Caenorhabditis elegans: one gene and its partner. The protein of the gene in region 2 purifies or fractionates together with the protein of the main gene of each other region. This does not show direct contact. Each region holds a gene or a part of one and is shown on either strand. Other genes may lie near its edges. The genes, in order: sft-4 and vit-2.

Evidence for each region.
Region 1: the proteins of vit-2 (region 2) and sft-4 purify together in Caenorhabditis elegans (affinity purification with western blotting; one study listed by BioGRID). This does not show direct contact.

Annotation. Positions count from the first base shown.
Region 1 is NC_003284.9:5,776,927-5,785,698, forward strand, and holds sft-4 (Surfeit locus protein 4 homolog), read right to left. Parts: upstream 3,797-8,772; 5' UTR 3,787-3,796; coding exon 3,718-3,786; intron 3,660-3,717; coding exon 3,352-3,659; intron 3,306-3,351; coding exon 2,994-3,305; intron 2,528-2,993; coding exon 2,383-2,527; 3' UTR 1,949-2,382; downstream 1-1,948. Other genes in the region: sym-3 (C2 NT-type domain-containing protein), read left to right, coding at 34-147, 294-490, 537-667, 1,165-1,303, 1,509-1,695; gakh-1 (Protein kinase domain-containing protein), read left to right, coding at 6,479-6,620, 6,669-6,896, 7,227-7,382, 7,425-7,519, 7,566-7,794, 7,856-8,221, 8,271-8,522. UniProt on the Caenorhabditis elegans protein: Endoplasmic reticulum cargo receptor that mediates the export of the yolk proteins from intestinal cells by recruiting cargos into COPII vesicles to facilitate their secretion.
Region 2 is NC_003284.9:5,097,196-5,109,267, reverse strand, and holds vit-2 (Vitellogenin-2), read right to left. Parts: upstream 8,237-12,072; 5' UTR 8,226-8,236; coding exon 7,353-8,225; intron 7,301-7,352; coding exon 7,016-7,300; intron 6,970-7,015; coding exon 3,790-6,969; intron 3,742-3,789; coding exon 3,495-3,741; intron 3,447-3,494; coding exon 3,190-3,446; 3' UTR 3,099-3,189; downstream 1-3,098. Other genes in the region: C42D8.9 (CUPID domain-containing protein), read left to right, coding at 2,231-2,887, 2,937-3,008. UniProt on the Caenorhabditis elegans protein: Precursor of the egg-yolk proteins that are sources of nutrients during embryonic development. Together with other vitellogenins, may play a role in modulating life-span, acting via induction of autophagy and lysosomal lipolysis.

The DNA of each region.
Region 1 (8,772 bases), 680 kb from region 2:
TAAATAGCCATAGTGAAAATTTATTTAATTCAGGTGAAAAACCATAGCGCCTCATTCAACACACGATTTGTATTCTGCTGTCGGATTCCATGTGATCAAACTTCGGGAACACTGGAAAAGTGTCTGTGCCGAGTTTCTATAAGAAAAGTAAGGAGAATTTGGAAATAAATTGGGGTTACTAAAATATACTCACAATATGAAATAATGTTTATTTAAAAATACAAATTTTCATTTAAAAAAACAACATTCTAAACTTATTCCCCATTTATCTTCAACTTTTATCCCATTTTCAGGAACAAAAAGGAGGAAAATCGTATTACAAGCTCGGTTTTGTCGATATCAACCTCTCCGAATATGCAGCTTCCGGTGTTGAAGGAATCTCGAGGACCTATCTTTTAAACGGCTACACTAGCAATCAAAGATTGGATAACTCCAAAGTGTGCATCAAAGTTGCAATGACACATCAAAGTGCAGACCCATTCTTCAGAGTGTATGTTCACATATAATTTTCCGTTTAATGAACATGATTACTTTAGGCCTCGCCTGTCAACGTTCGGTCCACGACAAGATGGAGCTATTGATCAAGATGGTTTTCGAGCAGACGATGAAACTGATTCCGAAGAAGGAACATCGTCTCATCCGAAGCTTTCCAATGTAGATGTTCTAGGTAATTATTTCGAGATTCGTGAATCGATGTACTCTAAGGTTATTTCTATTTTTGCTTAATGCAGGAGCTGTAGATGTGAGGAGTTCACGTAAAACTGAAAACACTCTCTATTTCACTTAAAAATACATGAGTATTCCGTTAGCAGTTGCAAAAAGCTTTTCATATCATTGCAGTCTGTTAAAATTATATATGTCTGAAAATACTATTAAATTAAAGAAAACAAATAAATTGGCAACTGACGCTTAAAACGTTAACAATTGACTCCCGCGGAAGTTTGAAATTATCTCCTCAAACTTAATACATTTTTACTTGTTTTTATGTTATAAATATTAAATTATGAGACCCATAATGTCAGTTTCAATAATTTCCCCGACGCATTCTGAGCCTAAAATTCAACAACAGTGAGATTATAATTTATTTACGTGTTGAATGATAAAACAATACAACTGTTTTGTTCAAATTCCTTTTTTTGTGAAAATTTGACCAAAATTATTCAGAAAGTTCATCCGCCGCTAGCAACTCGCAAGTCGACGAACCAGTTGTCGAACGACGAGTAATACATCCACCACAACATCCAACCTGCCAACTACGACGATTTAGTCAAGATCGATCTGCTCAAAAAATTCAACACTCCAGGTAAGGTGAAACTTTTTTGAAACATTAAAAAAAAAGAGTCATGGCGAGTTTGACCTTTTTGATTCATGTTAAGAAGATTAGTGAAATGACCCAAATTCCTCTACTCTACTGTTTCATGTTTGAATTGAGTCCCATAAAAATAATTGAAAATTGGTCAAATATTGATTCTGAGCATTTCTTTTCCTAATTTTTCAATCATTTTCAGATTCGATGCAGACAACGTGATTGACAAAATCATTGCCGAATGTCGAATATCGGAAGATGAAGTGGAGAGTAACAGCGGAGGCTTGGTGCTCGAGAAATTCTTGGATAAACATGGAAAGCCACTTGTCAATCCACGTCAACCCGTGAAACGGACGTCTTATGTGGCTGAACATTTCAATGATGCGTGAAAAAATTTTCCCGTTTTGTTCTAAATTCGAAAATTTTCTTATTTCTACTACTTATTTACTTTGAAACTATGTGCATCATTTTGATGACTGCCTTTTTCATCTTACAAGCACTTTCTGGTTTTTGATATACGGTTTCTTCGTCTCATGTTAATTCTATTTTGATTGTATTACCAATGGGTCTTCTTTTTCAAGCAGCTAAATTATTTTCACTGTTCGGGTGATTAGAAAACTTTAACAAATAAAATGATTGTCTGACAGAAAAATGTTTATTCTTTACGGGAACAAAACTACCAGAAGAAAATTGGGATAGGCCGATTAGAAAGTAAAGGAAAGTGGTGGAAAAATGACTGTTTTAGTTGTGATTCGTGTGAGAAAAATAGAAGTTTGTAGGGAGAGTTTCATTGGAAAACAACCCATATAGTCCATGAAGTTTTAGGGAAAGGAAGAAAATGACAAAAAAAAATAAAAGGAAATAGATATGAAGTTGTAACATTACGACAAGAAGCATTGGATGGGAAACCGAGGGAAAACGTTCTACTCTAAATATATTGATTAAAGGAAATATCGAAAAAATCGAAACAGATTCATAAATTATATAAACAATCCAGGTAAATTTATCGGGGTGAGTGAGTGTAATGCAATGATTTGACATAGAAATGCGTATAAGTACTGGTGTTAATGGGGTATCTACCATCTTTTCTTGTAGTCATCGACTGACACTCCTCCTGGTCCGTAGGCAATGACAAGGAGAAGTCCTCCAATGACGGACATGGTTTGGAAGAAATCGTACTTCATGAAGTCTCTGTAGAAGCGGTCGGAAGGAATGGTCCACCTGAAAAATCAATGTTTCAATTATGGTTAATCAAGCGTCAAATTGTTATAATTGGTTTTTTTGTTTTGATTAAAGTGGTTATTCAAGTAATTTTGCGAAATGTATTTTAATACATTTTTGACGTCACAGCTGTATTAAAATACAAGTTTTGTGTATTTCAATACAGTTGTGACGTCATTTTTCTATACTTTTTAATTTTCCGACACTACTTGAATAACATCATTAAGAGTGATCTGTTCTTCACTGCGGATCTGGGTGTCAATTGCACTGGCTAGTTATACACCCAGTGAGCTTTAGTTCGAGTCACACTTGAGCCCGGGACTGTGGCTGATAATCCAGAATCTAGAGGGAGCACTTGAACCAGTGACCTCATGATTGCTAGCGGCCACCAGTACCGACTGAGCTATCCCGATCATGTTGTGATAATTTCAGATTGTATAGTTTCGTTTCCACATCAAATACTTACCAAGCATTAAGCCAAAGGTTAAGTCCGAAGAGCCAGATGACAAGAACAATCGCGGAAAGCTTTGTCTTGTAACCAATTGAGACGAGAGTGATGAGAGCAAATCCAACAACAATCTCCAAAACTTGCATGAAGGACATCTCAAAATGCATCAAAGACATGAACATGAAGATAAGAAGAACACGTCCGGCAAGAAGCATGTACGATTTTGGCTTGTTCGAGTCTCCCATTGTTGGAACTCCGGCGAACAGGGAAGCCTTCTCTTCCTGTGTCTCGGCAAGAAGGAGCAAAAGTCCTCCACCAACGGCAATGTTTCTGAAATTTTACGTTTATTGCGAGTTCAAAGGAAACAAATGATTACCTGGCCAAGAACTTCAAGTCCCAGAGAATATGGTAAGCGATGGTTTGGAGAATGACAATGCTGGCAAGAATTCCACATGCGACCAACACCTTCTTGCGGAGCATGATCATTAAAACCGGGATGAACTGTCCGAAGAAGTTGTAGATGACGAACAAAGTTGCGATGAACCAACCGCAAGACCAAGACTCTTGCATGAACTGTTTTTGATCATCCCATTGGAAGTACATACGGATTCCATCTTCAAGGAATGTGGAGACGAGGCAGAGGCGAGCAATGTGGGGTAGGTAGGTCCTTGTTTTGCGGAAGAACTGAAATTCGCAAGTTTAAAGTTCATAGTTCATATAATAGTTTAGAGGTATTACGTACATCTTCAGCGGCGTCTTCTGCTTTCGCCAGCATTTCGTTCTGACCACCTGGAGCCCGGAACTGGTTCATTTTCCAAGAGCTGAAAAAATAGGTTTGGAAAAGTGTAGTGTAAATTAAGAAAAAAATCGGAAAGATGATAAGAAGTTGATAAAAAACGAGACGGGCGGTGACGACGAACAAAAATGCTGGAAGAGAATGAGTGGAAGAGAAGAATCGAAGGATTAGATGGTGGATTGAATGAATGACTACAAAATGGAACACGTGGCATGTGCACTTTACGAAAGATGTGTATTGCTGTCTGCGTCTCTCTTACGATTGACGCCAGTATTAGAGGTCAACGGATCAATAGTATCTTTTCCGAAACACTACACACAACTGTTTCGATTTAATATATCTTTTGTGTTCATTGAGAATAATAGAGGGACAGATCGGATTGAATGAAAATGTAATCAGACAAGATGAGATAACATGAGAAGAGATAACCTCTCATCAAAAAGGTTGTAAATACTATGGCAGTGGCGCATTAATTTAATGAACGAAGAGCTAACTAGTCTAGATGCTATCAAATATCGAGAGTAGTAGAGAAGACATTTATTGCCTTTGTTGGCGCAAGCAGCCTACGTAAATTTCCCATTTTCTGGGTTTTCTGAATTTCCAATGAGCCACCGCGGATGACGTATTTAACAACAAGTACACACACAAAAAATCGGATGACATATGAAAAATGGAAATTAAAATGAGAACAATCGTCGCCAAACATAACATCTCTCCAGGTAGGAGGAAAACCGTCAAAGCTGCACAATGTCAACACACAAGGCGGTCACGACTTTTTGTTTATCAAACTGGCCAACAGATGGCCGCGCCGATGAATGGTGGATATTTGGAACGGAATTGAAAATTTTTAAATCTTTAATGATACACGTTTTAAAGCTGGGTTTTAAGTGTATTTTGAGCAAACGTTGGGTTATCTATTTTGTTTTTAAAGTTTGACAAAAAGACGTCAGCTTTCGCTGAATACACTGGCAATGAATACACCGCGTCACGTCATCGTATACACAGAATTGATACTGAACTTGCGGAAATAGTACAGCGAAGTCATTGGGTAAATGAGTAATGTACAATAGAGAATGGAAATTATTCTTTATCACTTCCGCTACAGTTGTGTAAAAACTAAGCTAGGGAAAAAACCTTAAACTGGTTGAAAAAAGCGGTTCAAAAGTAAGAGTTTGGATGTCAACGGGCATAAGTGACGGGCGTTTATGTGAACGACTCTTTCCTAAACAGGTTTTCTCCGGACAAATGAAAACGAAAACATAAGCGACGAGAAAAGAAGGGGAACTGAACCGAAAGGGGCAAATGGAGGAAGAGGAGGCACACGAAATGTAGAGAGACCGCGTCGCAGCCGCACGCGAGCTGATGTGGTGGTTGTGGTTTGAAAATAGAAATGACACTCTCGAAAAGGAAGGAGAAAGAGAGTATATCACCGCTCCCGAGTATCACCACCTGCCAAGTAGGTGCCATTGAATTCAACCATTTTTATGAATGAATTATGATTTAAAATACATTAGAAGTTGAAGATAATCGAAAGACTACAGAAAAAACGCAAAAAAAGATAAAAGTAATGTTACATAAAGTTTTCGGTAAAACTGGTTGAGCGAAAAATCACAAAAGATGTTTGTTTTTACGAGAGCTGCAACTGGTTCCACGTTGTTACATGTTGTGAGGTAGCAAATGCGTCAGCAGCCACCACTTGGCGCGTTTCGTGTGCGTTCCCCCACACCAAAAAAGGGCGCATTGTATGCAACATTTGCGTTTTTTCATTGATTTTCCTAATTTATTACAACGTGAATTTATTTTTAAACAGAAATCAGTACACTAACATTCACAGTCTTGCAATAAATGCTGCACTGACAAACAATAAGTTTTGCACTGAAAAAAATCGTTTTTTGTCATTGCAAAAAATTTTCAGTTTGCTGTAAAAATTAAATGAAACCTTTAACCCGTTTTCTTATAAAAGAAAGTTTTAATTGTCTTGTTCAACAAAACATTGAAAATTTTCGCAACGATTAAAAAAGCAATAGATGTGATATGAACTTTTCTATTTAAAATTGAAGAACATTGTGTTAGTTTCTACTTTTTTTTTAACATCAATTATTTTTGATCAATGATCATTTAAATTATTGGCTTTCTTCAAACTCGCTCCAAGCAAATTAGCTCAATTTTGCCAACAACACATCCTCCGTTGCCAACCGACACCCCACTTTCGCTGCTGCTGCCCAAATACTCCGCTTCTCTCAGGATTTTTCGACCACGAGAGTACATTTCAGTAGATGCGAGATGGAATCTATCCTATTCCTGACAAATAATGTGAATTTCTTGCCGTTAGTCTTGCGCTAATGGAAATGTGTACTTTATATTCTATGCAGATGAAGCTTTAAAGATAGGAAGGCTTAAGCGTATTTCTTATTGATTGAAACGTGTAAAAACATCATTTGCAAATTTAGAATAATTTTTGAGAAGCAAGATATGTAAATTGAGAAAAGAATGTTCTTCATAAGTCCAATTCTTAATTTTGAAAAAAATTATGTTATAGATACCACCTGAGACCTTTGAATTAAATTGTAAATTGTACATTTTTATCCCTGGTCTTATACTTTTTCATATATTTTTTTCCTTTTTCATATTGATGCACCGCTCATAAAACTATCACATTTTATTATTTTTAATGCACTCATTCTACTATAAATCTGCAATTTCCAAGATGGCATTTGCCCGCGCTCTTGGTGTGATTCAATCTGTCGGTCGAGGCGCAGGAATCAGTGAGCAGAGTGAGCTCTACGATCGTGGTCAGACATTCAGCATTAACGGAAACAATTATCGAGTGGAAAAGGTAATAGCCAAAGGTTAGTGGCCATAAATGACAATTTTCGAAGAGAGCTTATGTTTTGCAGGCGGTTTTGGAACGGTGTTTCTTGCGACCAACACCAAGGGAAAACAAGTCGCCGTGAAGATCATGCTGAGCCACGATGCAGCCGCGACGAAGGATATTGATAATGAAATTGATATGATGAAGAAGCTCCAACACGAAAATATTATTCAACTGTTTGATGCGTCAGCTGAAAGCAGAAGTTCAAATCGGTCCGTGAAAGAGTACAAAATATCAATGGAATATTGCAAATGTGGGTTGAATTTTTTTTGTTGCAAACTCACTCTCAAAAAGTATATTGTTAAAGTGGAGTACCGAAAGAAATCGGCGATTTTGTCTGAAAAAAGACGCAAAATGGCCCAAACCTACCGAATTTTGTGTAATTTGTTATTACTAATTTATTACTTGTTGATTCGTTGATTGAGATGTTTTTCAGTCAGTTTTTTTTCAATTTTCAGAATGTCTCATTACAAAACTGGATAGTTTTGGGCCATTTTGGGTCTAAAAAAGCAAAGTCTCCGATTATGGTACTCCACCTTTAATGTACATACAATTTAATGTATATAACTAAATTTTATTTCAGTTTCAATTGCGGATGTGCTTCTCAAGTACAAAGAAGTCTCAATTGACTTTGTCGTTCGCATAATCTACTTTACAACAAGAGCCCTAGTATATTTGCATTCCGTCGGCGCCATCCACCGAGATATCAAAGCAGAAAATTTGCTTATAAACGGAAATGGTTGGTCTTTCGTTGCTGATTTTAGCTAAAACTATTTTTCAGGAAAACTAAAACTATGCGATTTTGGAAGTGCTACAACAAAGTCCATCGAGATGGCACCACTATCAAATTCCGAAAGATTAGCGGTTCAGGAAGAGGTCATTCCGAAATAAATTTTAAATGAAATTGAAATCTAATTTTCAGATGTTCAAATACACAACACCTATCACCCGATCCCCAGAAGTTTGTGATGTCTACTCAAATTGGCCTATCGGAAAACAACAAGACAACTGGGCAATGGGGTGTTTGATCTATTTTGTTGCGTTTGGAGAGCATCCATTTGATGGATCAGCGCTGGCAATTATCAACGGAAAGTACAAGAAGCCACCACCGGTTCAGCAAAACCAGTTATCAGCGTTTGCAGATTTAATTGGTAAGGAGTTTTCTGCTGGGCGTAAAAATAATAAATAAAGAAATATAAACCCAACTTACAGCAAAGTGTCTGACACCCAATCCGGATGAACGAATTACTGCTGCAAAAATTGAGGAATACATGAAACTAGCAATGCAGAAACAACCAAAACTAGCTGCAAAAACTGATTTCACGGATATACTCGATCTGATGAATGTTCAACCGGTACAAGCGGAGCAAAGTATCGAATCGCAAGCTGCAAAAGGATTCTTTACAATGCAGGACAAACTATTTTCCAATTTGACATCACTCAAAAATACAGTTGTACAGCAGACGAATAAAATGGGATGGGGAATGGAGCCAACAAATACTACACCACGCCCCGGGCACCCTTCAACATCTCCGAAGCTTGTGCCAAAAACACATAGATCAAATCAACAGCAAGAGAGTGAGTGAATGAATTGATTGAAACTTCTCTAATGCCAGTATATTTTCAGAAAACGCACCACCGAGACCACCCACAACAGCAAGCCCTCGTGCAGCCCCAGTTGCAACATTCAAAGTTTCATGGCCGACTGATAGTTCTCAGAATGATTCTGCAAACGATTGGGGAGACTTTAGTCAAGCACCGCCAGCGGTGAATGTTTCGAAAAAAGACGTATTCGATCCGTTTAGCGAGTCAGCATCACACAATTTGTCTGCAAAACATAGCGAAGATCTGTTATCCTTACAGAATTGGCCAGGAACTGGTAAGATTTAGGACACTGAAAACTGCGGAAAGCAATTGAACAGCAATTGAATTCCAAACGAATCCTATGTCATTTAAAAGGGGACCTTCAAACCAGATTAAAATTTTTGATGATTTGTACGGTGCTTAGATGAAGGCAATAAGGCTACTTCCTGTCAAAACTTGGAAACTTTCTCCCAAACATTCTGAATATATTGAAAGCTTTTCTGTGAAAATTTTGCAAGTGTCTGACAACATTATATGTTTTTGAG
Region 2 (12,072 bases):
AAAAATTTCAATCAAATAATTTGAGTGGGCGAATTATTTGTGCATAGTAAAATATATATGACTAAAATCATATTTATTGTTGATATCTTGAAATTGACAACAAAGGAGAGTTTTTTATCGAGAAAAAAGTGTAAAACAGCTGTTCTATCAGCTTTCCAAAATTCCTCCCAAAAGAGGGAAATTTTCAGCTGGGCTAATGTAGTTAATCGATCTTAAAGTCATTTCAATCCTTTTTTCAAAAACTTTCATTTGAAAATATATGTCATAATTTGAAATTATTTTACATTTTACATTTCGTGGCCGTAGATTTCTTTTTTTTTCAATTCAAGTTCAGATTGTTGAAATTTTCTGAACAAACGGGACAACTTTTGAAAAACTCTGATAAAACATTTTCAAATTTTTTATTGCAATTAGAAAAGAAAATTTTGTCATATTTCTATCATTATAAGAAGAATAAATTCAATTTTAATGCCCCAACTGTTGCGATACTGACAAGATGGTAAAGTTTGAGATTTTAGAACTTAGCCAAACTTTTGAACAAACGACTCATTACGAAATTCGGCAATTTTGGGTGGAAAAGGTAAAGTCTCATATTTTGGTCCCTCACCTTTAAATAAAATCTCAAATAAGAAATCCAGAAGTTACAGGTAACTTTGTCTTTTCCAGATGAAAATGAGAGATTCACAAATAATGCAAAATATTAAATTTTTGGATTTTTAAAGTAAATAAATTTGTACAATTCAAAACCAAAGAAATGTTTCATAAACTTTTAAACGAGAGAAATTTGAATAGTTTGACGCTTCATAACTGGCTCTGTGTCCACGTACGTTTCGGATCGAAAAACCTTTTTCAGGGCCTAGATTGATGTACAATTGTTATAAAAGCTTTCAAAATCTAAGATACAATCTGAGAAAAAATCCCTGAAAGAATCCCACTTTTCTCGGCGTATAAGCCTATCTAAGCTTTTTTGAAAAGTGGAAACTTTGGCAAAGTCATTCTATTCCCATTCTCAAAAAAAAACTTTCAGCAATTTTAAAAAACCTTCCTGATAAGTATCTTAACAATTAGAGGCTATTTTGCAGAAGCACTAAAACTTTTTCTTTAAAAAAATGTTTTAAGATTTTCAATTCTAAATTAAAAAAAAACAATACTAAAAACACTTCAAGTAAAAATTTTTATGTATTTAATTATTAAATACAAATTAGAAAAAAAAACTCACCGTGAGAGCAATGGTGTACGCTCAAGAGATTCCATTTCAAATTCCATGATGATTTTTGTATTCCGAAAACTAAAAATTAAAACAAGGAAATTCTAGAGCTCATTTTTGCACCAACCCATTAAGACTCTAAAAAGACAAGGCCAATTCCTGCAATGCATTAAATCAGACACGAAATGGCAATATTACAAAATCACTTTTTCTTTATTGCTATACAAGCAATCCTAGGCAATTCCAATGAAACCAGTCAATTTTATTAATATGTAGAAGAGACCCGAATTAGGTTCCTTGTATTCAATGTAAGTACTCACAATCTGAAAAAAATGTTTTGCAAGTGTTGTGTCCTTTCAATTCTTTCGTCAATATATTAGTGCACAAAAAAGTGCTCCTCGAAGAAGTTTTTTCCACCAAAAAAGAAGATTGGCAGGACAGATTTTTTTCTAATCCTTGCATGCATTATTTTTTATCCCTTCTTTTGTCAAAAGAACTTCAACTCATACACGTTTCTATGACACAAGCATTGTGGACTATCGTGCAGGTACACAGATTCTCATTAATCTCTCATGCCTGACTGTTTCTGTAATCAATTTTTCTAGTTGAAAAGATTTCGACACTACTCGCTTTTTGCCATGACAATTGTGCATTTTTTGCTTAAGGTATGTAATTCAGTAATTCAAGAATATTCATTTTACGTGGTGATTGTCACGATTTTGTTTTATATTGTTTTCAAAAATTCAATAATAATTCCTGTTGCCAATTGTTCATATTTTTTCTGAATAAAATCTCAAAATCCTCTTTGTTTTGTTCCAGTCATCTTTTTTCTGACATCCTTGTCTCTTACCAACAAGACCCCGCCTTCTGGAGCTCCGCCTAAAATAAGCGATCTGCGTTCGAACATCAGATTGCTCTTTTCATTTCGTTCCTTTTTTTGTTGGTTTTGAACCTTTTTCTTTAAATTTTAATATTTCCTTTTCTAAAGGTCTACCAAAATCTACAAAATCTCAGTTCCAGAAAATGTCCGAAGACGATTCCTCTCCGATAAGAATGCCTGTACGAGTCAAAAATATATTCGAGCTTGCGATTCCCATTCAAGAGCTTCCGCCGGATCCAGATGCAGTCGCAATGTCGCCCGATACATTTCGTTTGAAAGAGAAAGAAATGGACGATTTGCTTATGAATGCAAAATGCGAAGATGGAACTTCCATGGCATCCGTGGCAAAATACATACCATCAAAAGCCACACTGAAGCGAATGGAAGAAGAGGCGGCTGCAGCGAAGAAAACATTACTTGCTCGGAAAGCTGCAAAGATAGCGGAGCTGGAAGCAAGAATTGAACAATTACGGCGAGACTCGTTCGATGACACCAGTATTGATGAAACGACCGACCTTGATCAGCTAACGATTTCCCGCCCAACGGCTGTTTTTGCGGAAACTGGAAATATCTCACTAGATGGCACAAGCCAGACGGTCCAAAGAGCATCGATGTCCTCGCCGGGTAGTGTCACAGTGGTTTCATCTCCGACGATTGGTGTTTTGGCGGCAGCCCCTACAGCGATTGGTGCGTTGATGGGAGCATCTCCTGGCGTTGGAGCTTTGGTCGCTGCAGCTCTTAATCCTGTTCAACAAAACCCTTCGGAGAAAGAGGATCCTGATGGTGGTTCTCTTAGTACTGTTGGTTATAATTTCCGGTTCTTTCAAAGCATAGACTAGCTTTTTTCAGGACTTTCACGTTGTACACGACGAACTGAAACACGCTATGGCATTGGACAAATCTATCAAACGGCACTGCTAGCGACGCTATTTGTATAAATATTTCCTTCATTTCAATTTTTTTTCCAATTTTCAGTAATGCAATTTTTTTAAAAAGAATAAAACAATAGTTCAAAGTGAAAATTTTATTTAGAAAATGTCAAAAGACTACAATCAAACAGATGTGAATGATCAATTTACATAAAAGTGCCGGTCTAGCTTAATCAATAAGCGACGCAGGCGGTTGGGACCTTGACAGACTCAACGAAAGAGACTGGGTAGTCGTCAAGTTGGAGTGGCTGTTGGCGAGACTCCTTCAAGAGACGGCTGGCATCTCTGTTGTGACGTTGCAAGCAGGTGAAGCGGATCTTTCTCTGTTGTTGCTGCTCGACCTCGTATCCGCGGCGGCACTCGGCTACTGGCTCAACGGAGAAGCAGATGCGGTGGGAGAACTCCTTGATTTGTGTCTTCTCGACAAGATCTTAAATTAAAAATTATCGATATGAAATTTGAAGAAATTGTATCTTACCGGATTTCTTCTGGCTTCTCTGGTTCTTCTGGCTCTTCTTGGTGTTTTCCTGCTCGTAATCGTAGGTCTCCTCAGATGAATACTCATCAGATTGCTCCTCGTCTCTCTCGTACTTTCTGTAGTTCTTCTTCTCGGAAAGACGCTCCTCCTCGGCTTCGCACTCCTCGTTCTTGAGAAGGTATGAGCGGTGAAACTCTTCGATGTCTTCGGTTTCGGTGTTATCGGAAGTGTAGAACTCGTTGGTGGACTGAAAATTTTTGTTATAACTCAATATAAATTTCTACACTGAACTCACCTCATCATCATTGTTTCCGCAAAGTCCGCAAAGTTGATTCTTGCGGCTGTAGGATGGAAGTTGGGTCTTGATGGTGTATCCGTCAAAGCGAACCTCTCCTTCTGGAAGCTCAATAACAATAGCGGACTCTCCGAGTCTCTCGATTTGGTAAGCAGAATAATCCTCAGATTGGATCTTCTTTCCGTCAACCTTAACGCGGATCTCCTCGTTCTGGAGTTGGGCAACAATTTCTTGTTCTCCACGGATAACCTTGATGATCATCTCTTCAGAATTCTTTTCAGTCTTCTTGGAGAGAACAGCGAAAGTTGGCTCCTCGGAGCAATCCTTGGCGATAAGAGAGTAGCAGGTGGTGAGTGGAGTGTTGTAAAGGACATCATCGAAAGTGCGGATTTGGTTCTTTTGCACCTTGCAGACAGATCCGGAAGCCTCAGTAAGTTGGTGCTTGACGGAACGTTGAGCAATGGATGGAAGGTAGACACGTGGAACTTGAACGTTTTTGAGCTCAATGCGCTCCATTGGGGATTGCATGGTGATGTTGACGTATTGGCGGGACATTGGCTCAACTGTGAGTTGGACGACGACGCGATCATTCTCGTTGTTCTCTGGGCGGCTCGAGACAGTCCAGTAGTTGTAGGTCTTAACAAGATCGAAATAACGGGCAAGAACTTGTTCGGTTTCACGGGTGAGCTTGTACTCAGCAACAGCGTTGATCTGGTTAAGACGGGCGGCCTTGATCAAAAGCTCGTACTCTGGCATTCCATTGAATTGACGGTCCATGTTACGCTCGTATTTCTTCTGTTCTTTGGATTGTTGGAGTTGAGCATTGACGGTGACTTCGCTCTTCTTCTGGGATCCCCAGGTAGAGGTAAGAGAGAGTTGAACCTCACGGTGGGGTTGATCGCGGAGTTGACGGAGGGATGATGGCATCTCTGGGCGGACAACAAGAAGTTGGGAGCGGAGAGTCCATTCCTTGGTTTCCTCAAGGATTGGGGAGCGGCGGATTTCAACTTCCCATTGGCACATGCGGACTTGCTTGTCACAGACGGTGGTGAGCTCGGTGTTCATGGTGTAGTCACGTGGGGCCTCAAGTTTCAAGGAGATGACGGATTTGTATCCTTGCTCCTTCTGGATGTTCTTGACCATCTTGTTGAAGTACTCACGGCGGCTCTCGGTGTTCTCTTGTTCGAGCTCGAACTCCTTTTCGAAGATCTTGTTGTACTTGATTTGGGAGAGTTCGGTCTTCTCGAGTTGTCCAACGGTGAGACGGGCAGTGAATTCGGCTGGACGGTTCTTGTTCTCAACGGAAACCTCGAAGTCTTGCTCGGCAAGAAGCCAGTTTTCAAGAGTGTGTTGGTTGAGGATGTTTCCGCGGGTGGAGACTTCAAGTCCGAGGAAGTTGAAGACTTTCTCAATTTCCTGAGTCTTTTGTTGCCATTGTGGAACAACGACGGTTCTCTCTTCAGCCTCAATGTATTCGAACTTCGAGAATCCTGGGAAACGAAGGAAGACAACTGGGCGAGTGGTGAGGGAGACGATCGATTTTTGGTTCTCTGGAACGACAACCTTGTAGACGATTTCGAAGTTTCTCTTCATTCCAGCGACGGCTTGAATCTTGATTGGGGTGTAGGCGCGGACGGATTGAACGCTCTTGACTCCTTGCTCGAAGAGTGGGGTGAACATTCTCATCTCGTAGACGTGGGTGGCAGCAACAGATGGGCGAGCCTCAACGGTCAAACGAAGTTCCGTTCCCTCGAGTTCAAGAGAGAATTGTCCTTCAGCCGAGATGACGGTTGGGATCTTTCCAGAGATGGTGAGTGGAAGCCCAAGAGTTGTTGGGAATTTGCGGATAGCTTCGTAGAAGTAAGCGGCATGGTGCGTCTCGAACTCGAGCTCTTGGTTGAGAAGACGGCGGATTTCGCTGAACTGAACCTTTCCGTTGCTGGTGAACTTCTCGATAAGATTCTCAACAAGTTGTCTGTCAATTGGAAGGAAGGCGTAGTCCATGTCCTTGTAACGAAGGTAGACCATGGCGAAGGCATCCTTCTCGGTGTAGGTAGCTGGGCGAGCACGGATGTTCATTTTCTGGGCAAGTTCCTTAAGAAGCTTGATTCCAGTTTGAATACGGCGTCCGCGAACAACAGTGGTCGACTCCTTCTCGAGGCTTTCGAGTTTCTCAAGAGCCATCTGAACATATTTGTCCATGTGCTGCTGAGAGAATCCGATTTGGGCAAAGTACTTGTTCCAGTTTCCTCCGAAGACGGCATCAAGAGAAGCGTGAAGATCCTTTGGCAAGAAAGAGTTCTTCTCGAAGATAGCGGCAAAGTCAAATTGAGCTCCAGAGAAGGAGTTTTGAAGGAAGAGTGGAAGTTGAGCGTAGGAGGAAGCGATCATTTGTTCTTGTGGTTGATAACGAGTGAAGGAAAGAACCTTTGAGCAAACGATAGCAACACGTTGGTAACATGGGTTGGTGGACATGGCAAAGTGACGGATCATCTGGTGGGTAAGAGCAGCAACTTGTTGGTTGGTCTCCTTCTCCATTTGGGAGACAACTTGGACGAGGAGGGACTCTTCTGGGCGGGTATGCATCATTCTCCACAAAGCAAGCATGCGGATCTCTGGCTCGTATTGTCTGTTCTTGTAGATTGGGAGGAGTACCTTTTGGATCTTGCGTGGCATGGTGTCCTTAAGAAGTCTGAGGGCATCAATGGCTTCCTTGCGGACTGGGAGTGGTTGGCGCTTATCAACAATGATCTCGTTGAGTTGGTTGACGGAGATGTCGAGTCCAGCGTTTCCGATGGTCTTGAGGGCCAAAATCTTCTCGTAGGTGGTCTCAGCATCCTTGTATTGTTGCATGAATACGCGGAGGAACTTCTCCTTGAGCTCACGCTTGTCCTCACGAACGAGTGGACGGATGTTCTTGTAGTCAACAATTCCGCGGACAACTGATCCAGCGGCGAGCCAAGCAGCTTGACGGACAACCAGGTTGTTCTTGGCAACGCGAGACTCGGCGAACTTGATGAGTGCCTCAGCGATGCTTTGGGATGGGAATGGTGTCTCTTGGATGGTCTTAAGAATTTGACCGAGTGGGAGAATGTCCTCGTTTTCCATGTGAACAAGGATGTGTTGAATTGTGTTCTTGGTTCCAGCAATAGCAAGAGCGTGCTCCATCAATGATTGGATCTAAATATTGCAAGGTATAGGATATAATGAAACTGAAATTTTTTACCTTCTTGTCAGCCTTGACGTAAAGAGTCTCGTGGATCTCCTTAAGTTGGGAGGTGGAGGTGGTGCGGAAAATGCGGACAAGACGAGCAAGGAAGTGGGAGGTCTCTGGCATGTTGTTCTCGACTTCTTGGATTTGCTCAGTGATAGTCTTGATCAAGTGCATCTTCTTGTCGAGTGGGAACTTCTCGAATGGGGCGAACTCAGCCTTGTCTCCATTCTTGAAGAAGTCCTCAACGAGTTGCTCCCAACGGGAAGAGTAGATGATGCTTTCCTTCTCTCCATTGACCTGAAAGAATATTTTTCTGAGAACATACTGTAAAAATTATAGATTATCGTACCTTCTTGATGTGGCTCTTGATGGAGTGGTTCTCCTCAAGAACGAGCTTTGAGCGGGTTTCAGTCTTCATTACTTCTTGTCCGTTGACGTTGACAGTGTAAAGGGAGCGGACCTCGGATTCCTTAAGCTCTTCGTTCTCCAAAACGTAGGTGTAGACAGTTTGTGGGCGGATGAGCTCGGTGTCCTTCTCGCATTCTGGGCACTCGGAAGAGTAACGAAGTCCGTAAGCGATCTCGGAACGTTCGGTGCACTTATCGAAGTTGATGGACTTGGTGATGATGGTCTTCTTCTGCTCACGGATGACAGTGTAGGCGACTTGGCAGTCTCCTTCAAGGGTCTTCTCGTTGGTGAAGAAAGAAGTGTTTTCCTCAGATTGTTCCTCCTTGTCATAAGAAGATTCGATCTTCTCAATCTCGTTTCTTGGAGCAATTGGGTTGAAAGAGATCATGTTGACAACAGCTCTCTTCATGTTCTTTGACCATTCAGCGTCTTCCTTGTCAAATTGGAGCTCGGAGATAAGTCCATTTCTGAGTTGAGCACGGAGTGGGAGTTCGAGCATTTGCTTGTACTCCTCGGAGAGCTCGCGCTGCTCCATGGAGTTCAAGGAAGGCATCTGCTCGGACTCTGGGAGGTGGGAAGCGGCCATGCGGATGTTGACAAGTTGAAGGTGGATGTAGCGGTCATCGACGGCTTGAATGCGGGCACGTGCAGAAATACGGGATTGGGAAAGCTCAGAGGAAGCGGATGGGAGTCCGGAAAGGACGAGGCCATCGAACTTGTAGTGATAGTCAGTTTTTGGCTCGAAGGTGCGCTCGAAAGCTGGAGAGGAGGCGAGGGCCAAGGCCACGAGAGAGGCGATGATGATCGACCTCATGGCTGAACCGTGATTGGACTGTTTTCAGTGCACCTTTATATACGGCTAAAGATTGACATATGTTCGATTGACTTCATATGGAAGTTATAGCGTTTTAGCGCATTGATAAGCTCATTGATGGACACATTCAAGCATTCGCTCCGCTTTGTGACCCTTATCAGAAACAAATTGCAACATTCGGTGAGAGCCCTGTCTATTAATTTTGAATGAGGGGTTCTAAACATATAACTAAATTGTTTCAAGTAATACAGTTTGATCACACTGCACTTTGATACTCATGACTTTTTAACGATGAGGTGATTCTGGACATGATGAAACTCAGCTAGCACATGGTATTTAAAACAAAGTCATTACTTTTTTACTTGCTAGTTGCATTGTGACCGACAGGATAGAAAAATCTGCAAAAAAAACTTGGTAAAATTGTATTGTAGGCACCTAAAACGCAACCAGTTTTCCTCAATTGGGCACACAGGATCACAAAAACTAAAACTGAATCCAAAAAAATATGATAGAACTAACAAATGTTAAAACTTAAAACAACTAAACATTAAAAACCCAATTATTCACAAACTTCACCAGATGTTTTGACATTATTCTAACTTAACATTAATTGTACGTCTAGCAAAAATCTGATTAGTTGGAAATCCGCGGCATCCCTAAAACTTTTTCATTTTCCAGTGTTCTGCGTATTATTCGGTTGTCAGTAATTCCCAAATCTGGACTATAAGGTCTCACAAACGTCCGGTACTGTGATTGTGTGTTAATTGTTTCTAAATTAACTTGAATTCACCATTATTTATTTGTAACTTATAAGAAATCTGTTTTGTTTGTATTTTTTTTTTACTTCCCGTTCAGAAAGTCGACTATTTTTGATCAAGTACTTTATGCCACGAAAACCAATATCACGCTAGTTGTTGAAATCGACAACGCCGCTGGGGTGGTCGCTGCGCACTTGGCGAATCCGCAACACAGGAGAAAAGATTGGATAGTCAAATGACCCAGAAATGTCCGTGGAGGAATATAGCAGTCTCGGCGGTGTACGACGCGACGGAATTCGGATGTAGGACAGAGACTCCTAGTAAGAAGGAGGAGGAGGGGGGTCCTTTCCCGAAAAACACTCCCTATTCTTTCTTCCTTCCCTTTCGGTTATCACTCCACACTTGTTGATGTCACAACCGATCCGGACATTCAACCCGCACCGATTGCCTGTGTCTCCATTTCCAAGGAGAAGTGTATCTCCGATATATACAACTTTCATATTTATTTCAAATGTTTGAACTATACAGTTTATGATATTTTTGGTTCAAATGGTTTAATTCCAAAAACGGAACCATTAGTTAATACGTTTTTGTTGTTCCTGTTTGAATTTTTTGAGCCTTTTCCTATCAATTACTTTTTGAAATCTAACAGAAATTTTGAAACCAAATAACTTTTTCATAGTCCTCTCAGATTTGCTTCGACGTCTCAGCTTTTCACAATACTCATAGAATAAGTAATATAATTTATCAAAAGAAACAGTTGTGATAATAATTAATGTGTTTCAACGGTATTTGTAAAATATCTGTAGTTTATGTTTGTAAAACAATTTTGTATATATGTTTCGGCTCACTTAAGCTTTCTAGGCCAATTTCAGGCGTTTTAGACTCATTTGTAGGCTTATCGGGCTGTTAGGTAGGATAGTCCCTATAAAATAAGTTGAATAATGTTTTGGAATAAAAAACGAAAGTTTGGAAAAAAACATTTTGAGGTGTATATGTTTTGCGTCGTCTTTAAGTTTCATTGTTTTTTGTTACAAAAATTTTAATTCATAAACTTTCTAAGCAATCCTTATCTTCGATCGTTGGGATTAGAAAGGAAACACTCCTAGACGATTACTTTCGCCGATTCACCCACTTCTCATTTTCCTTCATATCCCCCACTCCGTCAGTTTCGTAATCCCTTACAAATTTCCATCGTCACTATGACCCCAATAACGCGTTGCCTTCTGATCTGATCTTTCCCCCATTTTTTTTTCATCGTCAATCCGAAACATGTAAGAAATAGATAGGATTCGTTGACACCGGTATTCAGGAATTTCTATTGGATGTGAAGCGGTGAATAGAATTGTGGAAGCAAAACCAATTGTGCATATCGTCCCCTGATCCGATCTCGGTGTGGGAGACGAACATCTTGCCCGAATCTCGAGACTTTGTGAATTTTATTTCATTATTACGAGTTTTCTTTTTTCTTCTTCCCTGCGGATAAATGTCAGCAAGCTGACTATATGCAATCATTCATTAACACATTCGGACTCATACATTCTTCCGAACACTCACACTCCTAATAGATCATTTGTCCTTTTCACGGGCCGCGGCATTCTTGTTATTTACCCAAAAGTCGGATCGGATGTCTAATTGAGTTAATCGGTTGCAAAGCGATAGCCGTTCCGAGTGACCTTCACTTATACAACGGGGGTGACAGGAATGACTCCATTCCGAAAGTCGCCAAGTCTCCAAGTCTCCTAGCAACTTCTCACCCGCCTCATTTGGCTCGTCGACTATCTCCATTGCAATCTTTTTTTCCTAAAGGAACTATAACAGGATGAGTTCGATGGCGTGTTAATGATACTTTCTCCGCGAAATAGTCAGTTTATGTGTCTACCGTCAGGTCCAGTATGTTCCGTTTGGTACCTGTCCACTTTTCTCACTTTCCTGTCCTTTTTCATGAATCATACAAAAAGAACAAGATTGTTTCGGAGAACACGTTTTTCGGTAAAGAGTGATTGGCAATCAGTTGTGTTTTCGATATCTCTTATAAATAAATCTCGCATTAAAATTTTTCTGAAAATCTTTCCTATACATATCCTACACTCATAGCCTTACTAACATGTTCGAAATTTGTTCAATCTTTAAAATTCTGTACAATTTAACATTGTTTGAATATTACCTAAGATGCACCTGAATTTGGAAGTAAATCATATAATTGTACCACACCTCACTACTACATTTTAAAACGCTATATCTGTGTTCATTTTTTTAAATATCAAAAAATAATAAACTAATCAATATAATTAGAAATGATACATATTTTGCCAATTATCTATTGTTGTATACGAAAAAACGACAACTGAAACATAAGCTGTCAAAATAAAGCAAATGAAACAATACTGATAGAGGAAATACATATGGTTTAGATCATAATTTCAGCATAAAATTGGAAGCTAATGAAACATCTCCATTTGAAAAAGCAGTCTATCACACCAGACAAAAAAAAATTGCCTAATTATTTCTTTAAAGTTGTTGCTTGTACATCAAGTGTGCAATAATGTTGCCAAAAGTGTTCCAAAACGTCGTCGCAGAAAACCTCTCTAGTATAAAATACGCCACGTCGAGTGGCCAAGTGCAAGTCCAGCTTTTGCTAAAGTTATTAGAGAAAGAGAAATCCAGTGACTGTCCACGCCCGCCCTTTCTTTTTCTCTCCCACACCCTATGGAAAAGGAGAAGCGCTGCCCGGTTTTCGTTCGGTTTGTCGTTTTCCCTTGTTTATGTCTAAGAAATCTTCAGATACTATTTTAAGTTTCTGTAGGTTATTTTATTAGGTAATGTTTTATCATAAACTATGGCATTTTTGTTACAATTTTCTTCGAAAAGTTACGTTACGTTATCGTGATTTTATCTTTTACAGTTACAATAATTATCAAAAGTTTGATCTTTGTTATACTGTAATAGTTGTTCCTTACACTTTATGCATATTATATATATACTAACTATTTGGATTCATCCGTCGCTTTTCATACTTTTTGTTATTGTTTCTGCATCGTCCACTTTGACGGAGGGAAAAGAAGAAGGGAACGATAATAATCTTATTT